2 linked regions of the Daphnia pulex genome follow. The protein of the gene in region 2 purifies or fractionates together with the protein of the main gene of each other region. This does not show direct contact. Links are inferred from orthologs where the notes say so. Each region holds a gene or a part of one and is shown on either strand. Other genes may lie near its edges.

The links.
Region 1: the proteins of E3 ubiquitin-protein ligase RBBP6-like (region 2) and cleavage and polyadenylation specificity factor subunit 6-like purify together in Homo sapiens (affinity purification with mass spectrometry; 3 studies listed by BioGRID and IntAct, with this or other methods). This does not show direct contact. The link is inferred for Daphnia pulex from reciprocal best matches to the Homo sapiens genes RBBP6 and CPSF6.

Annotation. Positions count from the first base shown.
Region 1 is NC_060024.1:13,144,647-13,149,193, forward strand, and holds the start of cleavage and polyadenylation specificity factor subunit 6-like, read left to right. Parts: upstream 1-1,610; 5' UTR 1,611-1,688; coding exon 1,689-1,748; intron 1,749-1,947; coding exon 1,948-2,184; exon of another isoform or gene 2,185-2,825; coding exon of another isoform or gene 2,826-2,993; intron 2,994-3,143; coding exon 3,144-3,371; intron 3,372-3,627; coding exon 3,628-4,273; intron 4,274-4,347; coding exon 4,348-4,500; intron 4,501-4,547. UniProt on the Homo sapiens protein: Component of the cleavage factor Im (CFIm) complex that functions as an activator of the pre-mRNA 3'-end cleavage and polyadenylation processing required for the maturation of pre-mRNA into functional mRNAs.
Region 2 is NC_060018.1:4,209,754-4,214,224, reverse strand, and holds the start of E3 ubiquitin-protein ligase RBBP6-like, read left to right. Parts: upstream 1-1,581; 5' UTR 1,582-1,698; exon of another isoform or gene 1,699-1,772; intron 1,773-1,841; 5' UTR 1,842-1,862; coding exon 1,863-2,028; intron 2,029-2,086; coding exon 2,087-2,177; intron 2,178-2,324; coding exon 2,325-2,388; intron 2,389-3,172; coding exon 3,173-3,268; intron 3,269-3,348; coding exon 3,349-3,437; intron 3,438-3,501; coding exon 3,502-3,610; intron 3,611-3,678; coding exon 3,679-3,800; intron 3,801-3,865; coding exon 3,866-4,035; intron 4,036-4,099; coding exon 4,100-4,347; intron 4,348-4,412; coding exon 4,413-4,471. Other genes in the region: uncharacterized protein LOC124188324, read right to left, coding at 1-87, 148-410, 487-673, 732-1,281. UniProt on the Homo sapiens protein: E3 ubiquitin-protein ligase which promotes ubiquitination of YBX1, leading to its degradation by the proteasome.

The sequences.
Region 1 (4,547 bases), on a different chromosome or scaffold from region 2:
CGCAATTTTCAGTGCCCTATCTACTTATCTCTAATGTATCATATCCCCTTACAATAAAAAAAATCTAAGAATCCTAATAAATGACAATAATATTAACCGACCTTCAAAAAACCTTCCAATAACAAACAAAAAATTTCTTATTTCAATATATTTCTTCACAATCCATTAAATCGATTCAATCATACCATTCGAGCAAGATTACAAAAAAAATTTTGTCAATAAAAATTATTAATTGCCAACACCATCTTCCGCAAAAAAAATACAACAAGCATCAATCATTCAAACATTTATATCATTCCTATCTCTGCAATTCATTACATAAAACATTCCATATAAATGAAAAAAAATAGATTGACTCACCACAGCTTTCATTTAATGTTTATCACATTTCAACATTTCACTTCGATAAAAAAAACAATCTTCATTGCTTTCACTTCATTAAATTGTAACACATAATAATTCACACAACATTAGCTAAACTCATCACAATAATTCATATCACTAATCACTATTCATATCTGACAAAAAACTCACTTTAAAAAAATTCTTCTCACAAAACTGATGCACCAACTAACAGACAAATATTCAACAGCAGCCAATTTGAAACAACAACTTTCCAACTAAGAATCTGAATCAACACTGAATATCTGACTGTAAAACATCAAGAAAAAAAGAAAAACACAAGGTTATACTAAGAATAATGTGATATCAACAGTACTAAGAAAACATCAATCTAAATGAAGAACTAACCAAGGCCACGGACAAAATAACAACCACGAAACACTGGCCCTGCCAAATTTATTTCCTTTCCTCTGATTTTATTCGACACAAGAGGTGCAACAGTGAGGTATAGAATGACAAACAGAGAAAACAATACGAAAACTTAATTTTTAAATTTCCTAATCAAGAAAAAAAACGAAAGGAGACTTATAAAATCTCGAAGGTGCCACAAAGGGGCTTGATTAATGGTTAATGAAATGGACTCTGTCATTTTTTCGTTGCAGCAGAGAAAACATTGGGTAGTACGTTTATAAATAAAGTAAATACGTTAAGTTTATGATAATTGTGTTGCTTAAAGGACTTGTTCTTTTTTATTTAACATACTTAAGAAGCATCAACATACTTTTTAAAACTTTAAGTACGTTAAATCTATGATAAGTGTGTTGCTAAAAGTACTTGTTCTGTAAACATACTTAATTTCATTTTTATAAACATACTTATTTTTTTGTAAGCATGTTACACTTCGAAGAAGCATGAAATTTTGCTTTTCAGTTTGTTTATAATTCTTACCAAAAAGCGTAACGTGTTAAGTAATCTTAAAGTGCTGAAATAGGGCTAAAATAAGCATCCTACCGAGCTTCCGTGTAGCTTTTAACTGTCGGTCAACAGTATCAAAATAATGTTTTACCTGTCTGACAAGAAAAGACTTCAAATATACTAGGATAACTAGGAAATTATGTTGGATCGTGTCGGATTTATGCGGGTTTTTTTTTTTTGCAAGATTTTTGCGGGATTTTGAAGAAAATCGTGCAAGATAAAGTGCAGGATTTTTAAAAAAAAAAAAAACGGATTTTCGGGACTTTTTAGGCAACCCTGCACGACTTTGCTATTTCAGAAGTGGCAGCACTGGTGGAAACAGAGAAGAAGTTCAAGACTGTGGTCGTTGGCCATAGACTAAACTTCATAAAATGGCTGACGTGCCTGATATTGACTTGTATGCCGACGATCTTGGTGATGATTTTCATGGTGTAAGTTTACGTACTTATTTATAGTTACCGGAAGAATGCGATGTTAATATTCTGTAGTTCGTTTATCAATAACTTATTTATGTACATTTATGTTCATTTTCTGTTGTTATCCCACCGCAGTGTTTGGCGTGGCGTCTTTGCTGTTTACCGTTATTAGATGAGACAGCATCATTTAACTTATTTTCTTAACTGATTACAGGATGGTGACGAACAAATTGGCGATGGCGTTGACTTGTATGATGACGTCTTGACATCTTCAACGAGCATCAAGCAGGAACTAAATGGAAAGGAGAAGATCTCAACGCTATCTTCTCATATCACATCCAGCTCTCTACATGGTTCATCTTCATTGATCGGAACTCCACTTCAGCTTCATGGCAGCAACAGCTCATCACAATCCAAAAGGATCCAGTTGTACGTGGGCAATCTGACGTGGGTACGATTATTCAAACCTTTCCATTTATAAAACCAATTGTTCAAAGTGTCGTTTTATTTATCTAAAAAGTAATTGTGCTGTATATCGAATCATTCCCAGATAGTTCCCAATTGTTTATTTTTATTTTATCGACATTAATCAAATTGTTAAGTCTGTGATATCAACCTAGCCACCATGTTGTTATGATGGAGGGGCTATGATGTGTGATAAAACTGTATGATGGCATTCAAAATTGAAAGAAGGGCATCATGAATGTTGATGTATGTATGTGTATGTGAGAAGGCATACCAATTCAGGGACATGAACGACCATGCATGTTGTACGCTGTGTATCTGCACTTTTTAAATAATTTTTTTTATCATCTATTGATCTATCATAAGTAGTCCATCAAAACTTATCATTAGCCCCTATCAAAACCTTTGACTGAAGGTTTTTGAGTTGTGTTGTATTACGTTTCTCAGGATGCGGTCCTCCATAGAACTCCCCAGAAAAAAAATTCTTGTCAATCAGTTTTGCGTAACTGATGTGCCACATCCATCGCCCCATGTTTTTTTTTCTCCTTTGATCTCTGAAATCGTCATCTCTGCCAAACGATATTTGAGTCGAATGAATTGTTAGTTTGGGGTGGGATATCGCTTGATATGACAATCTCAGCCACGTATTATAACAACCGCTGGCGCCCATGTGCAGGAACATCTTTGATGATGACAAGAAAAAGAAACTGCACTCTGGCATACACTCACTACAAATTGCGCGGCTGTGTAAAGGTGCCCGATCAAAATATCTTTTATTTGACCAATACAATTATGGTATGGATGTAATCGGCAGAAAACGATTTTCATGCTTTGTTTTTCTATATTATCTTTCTTTCTTTTGTTTTTTAAACAAACAAACCCAATCCAAAACAACAACAAACGACAACGACACAACATCAATTTTGTGGTTGTTGGACAATACAGTGGACCACAGATGCCGACGTGGAGAATGCAATCAGCGCGATTGGCGTCCAAGACCTGGTGGAGGTGCGATTTCATGAAAACCGAGCCAACGGCCAGTCGAAAGGCTTCTGCGTCATCACCGTCGGTTCCGAGATCAGCGCTCGTCAATGCATGGACAAACTTCCCAAAAAGGATCTGCACGGACAGACGCCCATCGTCACCTTCACATCCAAACAGGCGCTCAATCAGGTAAGATCAAAACATTTCTTAATCGTTTAGTGCTGCTAGACGAATTTTTTCCAAGTGCATACCAGTAGAACCATTGACTGTCTAAATTGAATACAGTTCAAAGGTGGGAAAGTGTAATGCAACATTAAAACCAATCAAGTCTGTAAACCTACAAGTGTCGTACAATTTAACACTTAACGGACGACTTGACTGGAACATCTTTAAACATTTATGTTTTATGCATTTCTTTTAATGTCAAAATATTTTTCTTATTCAGTTTGAGGCGCAGTCAAAGAGCCGCCCATCTAGACAATCAAGTCCTCCGCGGAGTACCGGTTCTGCTCCATCCGGAGTTCCGTCGCTAACAGTCGGATTACTCGGACCTCCTCCAATGAATGGGCCTCCTCCTAGGATGATGATGGGTCCGTCAGCTTCTTCATCCGGACCCCCACCTTTAACGAGTCTCTCATTACCTCCGCCACCTTCAGTTCGTGGTCCACCGACACCCGGAGGCATTCCCGTTCCGCCACCGACGCATCACCTTCTTCCACATCCGGTCATGTCACCTACGGTCGTACCGCGAGGTCCACCACCCGGCATGGGGATGCGTGGGCCTCCGCCCGGAATGGATATGAATCCTCATCGTATTCCGCCTCCTGGCAACGGCCGGCCAGAATGGGCCAACATAGTCCAGCAGCCAGCTCCTCACGTCAATCCGGCATTCTTCCCTCCGCCCGTTGCGGCACCTCCGCCTGGATTCCCTCCACCGATCGGCCCACCACCACCATTCATCACTGATAATCGGCCACCGCACACCAATGAGCCGCCAAACGTCAGTGAAGCCGAATTCGAGGAAGTGATGGGCCGCAACCGAACAGTTTCTTCTTCCGCCATTGCTCGAGCTGTTGCGGATGCCTCAACTGGTATGTCTTCAAGCTTCATTTTGCTCATTGAACCAAAATCAGTAGTAACTTATCTGTCTTCTTCATCCAATCAGGTGATTACGCCAGTGCAATCGAGACGCTAGTAACGGCCATTTCGCTCATCAAACAGTCAAAAGTGGCGCATGATGAGCGCTGCAAGATCCTGGTGTCTTCCTTGCAAGATACGTTGCACGGCATTGAGGCCAAGAGCTACGGATCACGAAGAGGTACCCGCATCATCTAGTTTCTTCTTTTTTAAAAAACATTCTTAACG
Region 2 (4,471 bases):
GAAGGAATATTCGCGTTGCCTTCACGTAATCGGTATGTTGAACACTTACTGCATCAAAAACGAGCAGCATTTTAAAATCACTTGGAACTGCAAAAAGAAATAGAATTACGAAACTTGAATACAGTAAAAGAAAAACAAACGCCATACTTGGCTCGAGTACTCTTCGTCGAAGATATAATACTGCGATGGCAAAGGTGAAGGATCCAATAATAAAAATCAAACCTATTAATATAGCTACATCAACCATGTCGAACTGATGATCAATATCGATTTCAAGAATTCTGCTTTGATTGCAGCAGTTAACATTAGATGATGTGCTATTTGGTAAGCGTTGGCATTCAATATACAGTTCATACTTTCCTTTCTTCAATGTCGCTTGGGATAGTTTATAAGTAATCAAATCAGCGTATCTAACGGGAAAAAAATTATTTTTCGGTTGAAAAAATTTAACTAAGATATAAAGCGATTCCTCGTAATTCTACAAACCTTTCAGAATAAGTAGAATCTATTGACAGATCCACTTTAAAAGTATGGGAACATTTGTTTTGCCCTTTAAAACATAATTTTATCATGTAATTGTCTATACCAACTAGAGCTTGGAAAGTAATAACAAGCTGATTTTCAATAGAGGTGTGAGTATAGAAAAATATTATTCTGTTACTCATATCCCTACCTAAAAAAAATATGGATTTAATAATGACACACAGGCCAATAATTGATAAGCAGCTTACCATACAAATTCCTAAATTTGTATTGCAATTTTTCTCCATTCATTAGAAACTTGATGGTTGTGTATGAATCACTTGTCATGAGAGAACTTGCAGAATCTCTGACATAACAATCATAGTTCCCCATGACATCATCACACCCTGGTTTAACAATGTTTCTGATTAAAGTAAAACACTTGGCATTCTGAGGTTTGATAAAATCTTCAAGCATAAACCACATGGTCTTAAATAGTGGATCAGAAATGGTGATGTTCAATGCAAATCTCGGGAAACTTCCATTCCTATCATAAGCATCAAATGCATTTAAATGAAGACCAATGTTTCTTCCATATGGAGTGGTTGAATCATTCCATTGTAGTAATCCAGTTGTACAATTACTGTCAGCAATAACAGTGAAGCAGCCATCAGCAGAAGTAACTGATCCACTAATGTATGACCCATATTTTGAGCAAATATCCGACCTACTAGTCTGACGGACTAAACTTGGACAGAGGGTGAAGACACTTTTTGGCAGTGTAACTGCAACGAGAAACAAAATGCAATAAAACTGCATACTGGCAAATACTCCCGAAATAAGGCGCAAAAATAAGGTTGTAATTGAACACACACTATCGTTTTCGAATCAGGAATGTCACTGAAAGAATTCCGCAATTTCCAAATTTTTTGTTTTGATTCATGATTCTTGTTGCCATAGCCCCCAAACCACACCCTCACCAGCAACCGAATGACGTCGACAAATTTTCTTTGTGATTAATGAGAACAATTTTACGTTACATAAACAAACTTGGTAAACAAATTTTGTGACATATTCCATCTATCGGTCATTTTATTTGTTTTTGCCACTAACCGTTAGGTGGCGTTGGTGATTCCTCGCGAGATTAAAAAGAAACTACGATTGATGCCGAGTTGCCGATCCGACCTACTAATGAATACCCGGTTGTCGACGCTTACGTTTTTCTCCAGGAATATGGTGAGTAAATTTAGTTTACAATTTCAAGTTCATGCAGCAAATCCACGTTTAATCTCTGATGGCTGATTAGTTCTGTATGGTTTGCTGTCGTGATATGTGTATAGTTTATAATGTAATCGAGATTGGTTTATGTTTTTTCACAGTGAGCAAACTGTACCGGGAAAATGTCTATTCATTACAAGTTTAAATCGGCGATCGACTATGACACGATTACATTCGATGGCCTTCACATCTCAGTTTCTGACTTGAAAAAGGCAATTGTCCACCAGAAAAAACTGGGCAAGGCTACAGACTTTGACCTCATGATAACAAATGCGCAGACAAATGAAGGTAAGATGTAGCACACAAAACTTTATAGAATAACTCATTTGACATGTTGTTATTGTAGTTTACACAGATGAATCTGCATTGATTGCCAAAAATACTTCGTTAATTGTGGCACGAGTCCCTGTAGCTGGTGCCACCAACAAAAAATTCTGGTAAGATTTTGTTGTTCATTTTAACAAAACATTTTGCATGGCACTGAATTGGAGTGAGTTTGCCCAAGCATAACTTTCGTTTTTTGAAATGTAATGATTTTAGGAGTTTGTCGTTATGTTATTTAAACATTGTTTTACTCATTACAGGGATAGAGGCGAACCATCATTGATCGGAACAACATCGTCGTCGAATTCGTCGTCATCAAAGGGTGTATGTACCTGAAGTCTTCCTCCCTTCTCAGTGGATTAGTAACTCTTTTTAAAAAAGAACCCCAATTAAACCAATTTAAATTAAAGTCACTCACATTCAAAGCTAGTTTTTGCAAAGAATCATAAAATTGTCATGAGTAGTTTTGAAAGTCTTGGTAATTCAAACTTCACATTTCTTACAAAAAAGGACTTGGGACTGCTGACGCCGGCTACTGTGATATTCTCATAACATTTCAAGAAGTTTTTGTGTTGAATTTAAAGATTGATGAAAAATTGTTTTCTTAGAACTTTTAAATGTTGCAGCTTTTTGTTAGTGATAGGGTTTTCATGGCTGTGATAAATTTAATTCATTCGTTGGTGATATAATTTTTGTTTCAAAACGGATGTTAAAGCTTGTGTCACGCACGGAGTATTACCTTAAACCATCAATGTGCCCTGTCCACCTTTCCGCTATTTTTCCATCATGGGATTCGAACCCCTGCGGTGTATGTGATTCATGCACACTTTCTTTTTTCTCTATTGATTCGTTTGAAAGTCGAAAATCGGAAGTTCAGTGCTAATTTTTGCTCGACAAGTAATTAATTCACTAGCTGGAACTAGTTTTCAAATACATGAATGGTCCACTTTGCCGGAAGCCAAATGTCTGATGGTTGAGCGATACATCAATATTTGGCACGACACTTGATCTTCCTCCTTCTGCCCTCCTATTGTCGCATTTCAATTTGTCAATAGACAGTTTCGTTGAGAACATTCCTAGAAATATGAGTTATAATCGAAAATTTTAGGCTCCCCCCGGGACCAGAAATGAAAATGAAGTCACAGTTGCCATGGCGAACATCAATGCGGATTCAGCCGGTTCCGCGCTTGATAATCTTGCCCAGGTATTGATACCTTTGTCCCGCCAGTTCATTCTGTATGTAACCTCACGTCTGTTCTTTTTTTTTTTCAAATTTTTTCAAAGGCTACTGACCTGTTTCGAAGTGAGGCTTCCGAAGAGGACAAAATCAAGGCCATGATGACACAAAGTACTCAGGACTACGATCCATCTAAGTAAATATTTCAACCATCATCTTGCGTCGAAGTTATTATTTATATGTATATTATTCTTCATCAGATATATGAAAATTCGTGGTCAAGGTCAAGTAGGACCCGTTCCTGGTAACTATTGTTGTTTCAAATGCGGTATGCCTGGTCATTGGATCAAACAATGCCCCTTGAACTTGGTAAGACTCATTTCTCGAAGTCAAATTGTAACAGCATATTAACGAAATTTATTTGTTCACGATTTTAGACAATGGACATTAAGAAGAGTACCGGAATTCCAAGAAGTTTCATGGTACCTGTTGAAGGTCCAGAGGTTCCTGGAGCGATGATGACTCCATCGGGGCATTTTGCTGTCCCTGCAATTGACCAGTAAGTTTCTTTAGCTAATTTGAAGTTCAATAAGTGTAACACACTAAAAATGCTTTTCTTATTAGTGAGGCATATCGAGAGATCAAGAAAGAACGACCGCCTTTTCAGGCTGAATCGCCGACACCCGAGGTGGTAAAACCTGTCATTCCATCTGAATTACTGTGTTCTCTGTGCAAAGATCTATTGTCTGACGCAGTACTTATTCCCTGCTGTGGAGATTCCTTCTGTGATGACTGTAAGTTTTATTATTTTTATCACATTTTTATTCGGTTTTAACGGTTTTCTATGATTCCTCGAAGGCATACGAGCCCTACTTCTCGATTCAGAGGAGCAGGAATGTCCTCAGTGCCACACGAAAGCTGTTTCGCCTGACACACTGATACCAAATCGGTTTTTACGTACGGCTGTCACCAATTTTCGAAGCGAAACGGGATATACGAAAGCCGCTCCCGTTGTCGCCCCTGCTGCTGTTGTGGAACTTGTTGTTGTTCCTGAAGTCAAAGAAGATATTGAGGACGAGAAAGAAGAACCCGAACTGATTTTAGAGGTAAAATTGAAAGTTTATTTGTGATTGCGTTGATGGCATGATGTTATCATTCTTTATTTCAAAAGGATGAAGAATTCAAGGAAGAAATTGCAACTTCTCCGGTGGCCGAAGAAGAGTTTAATGA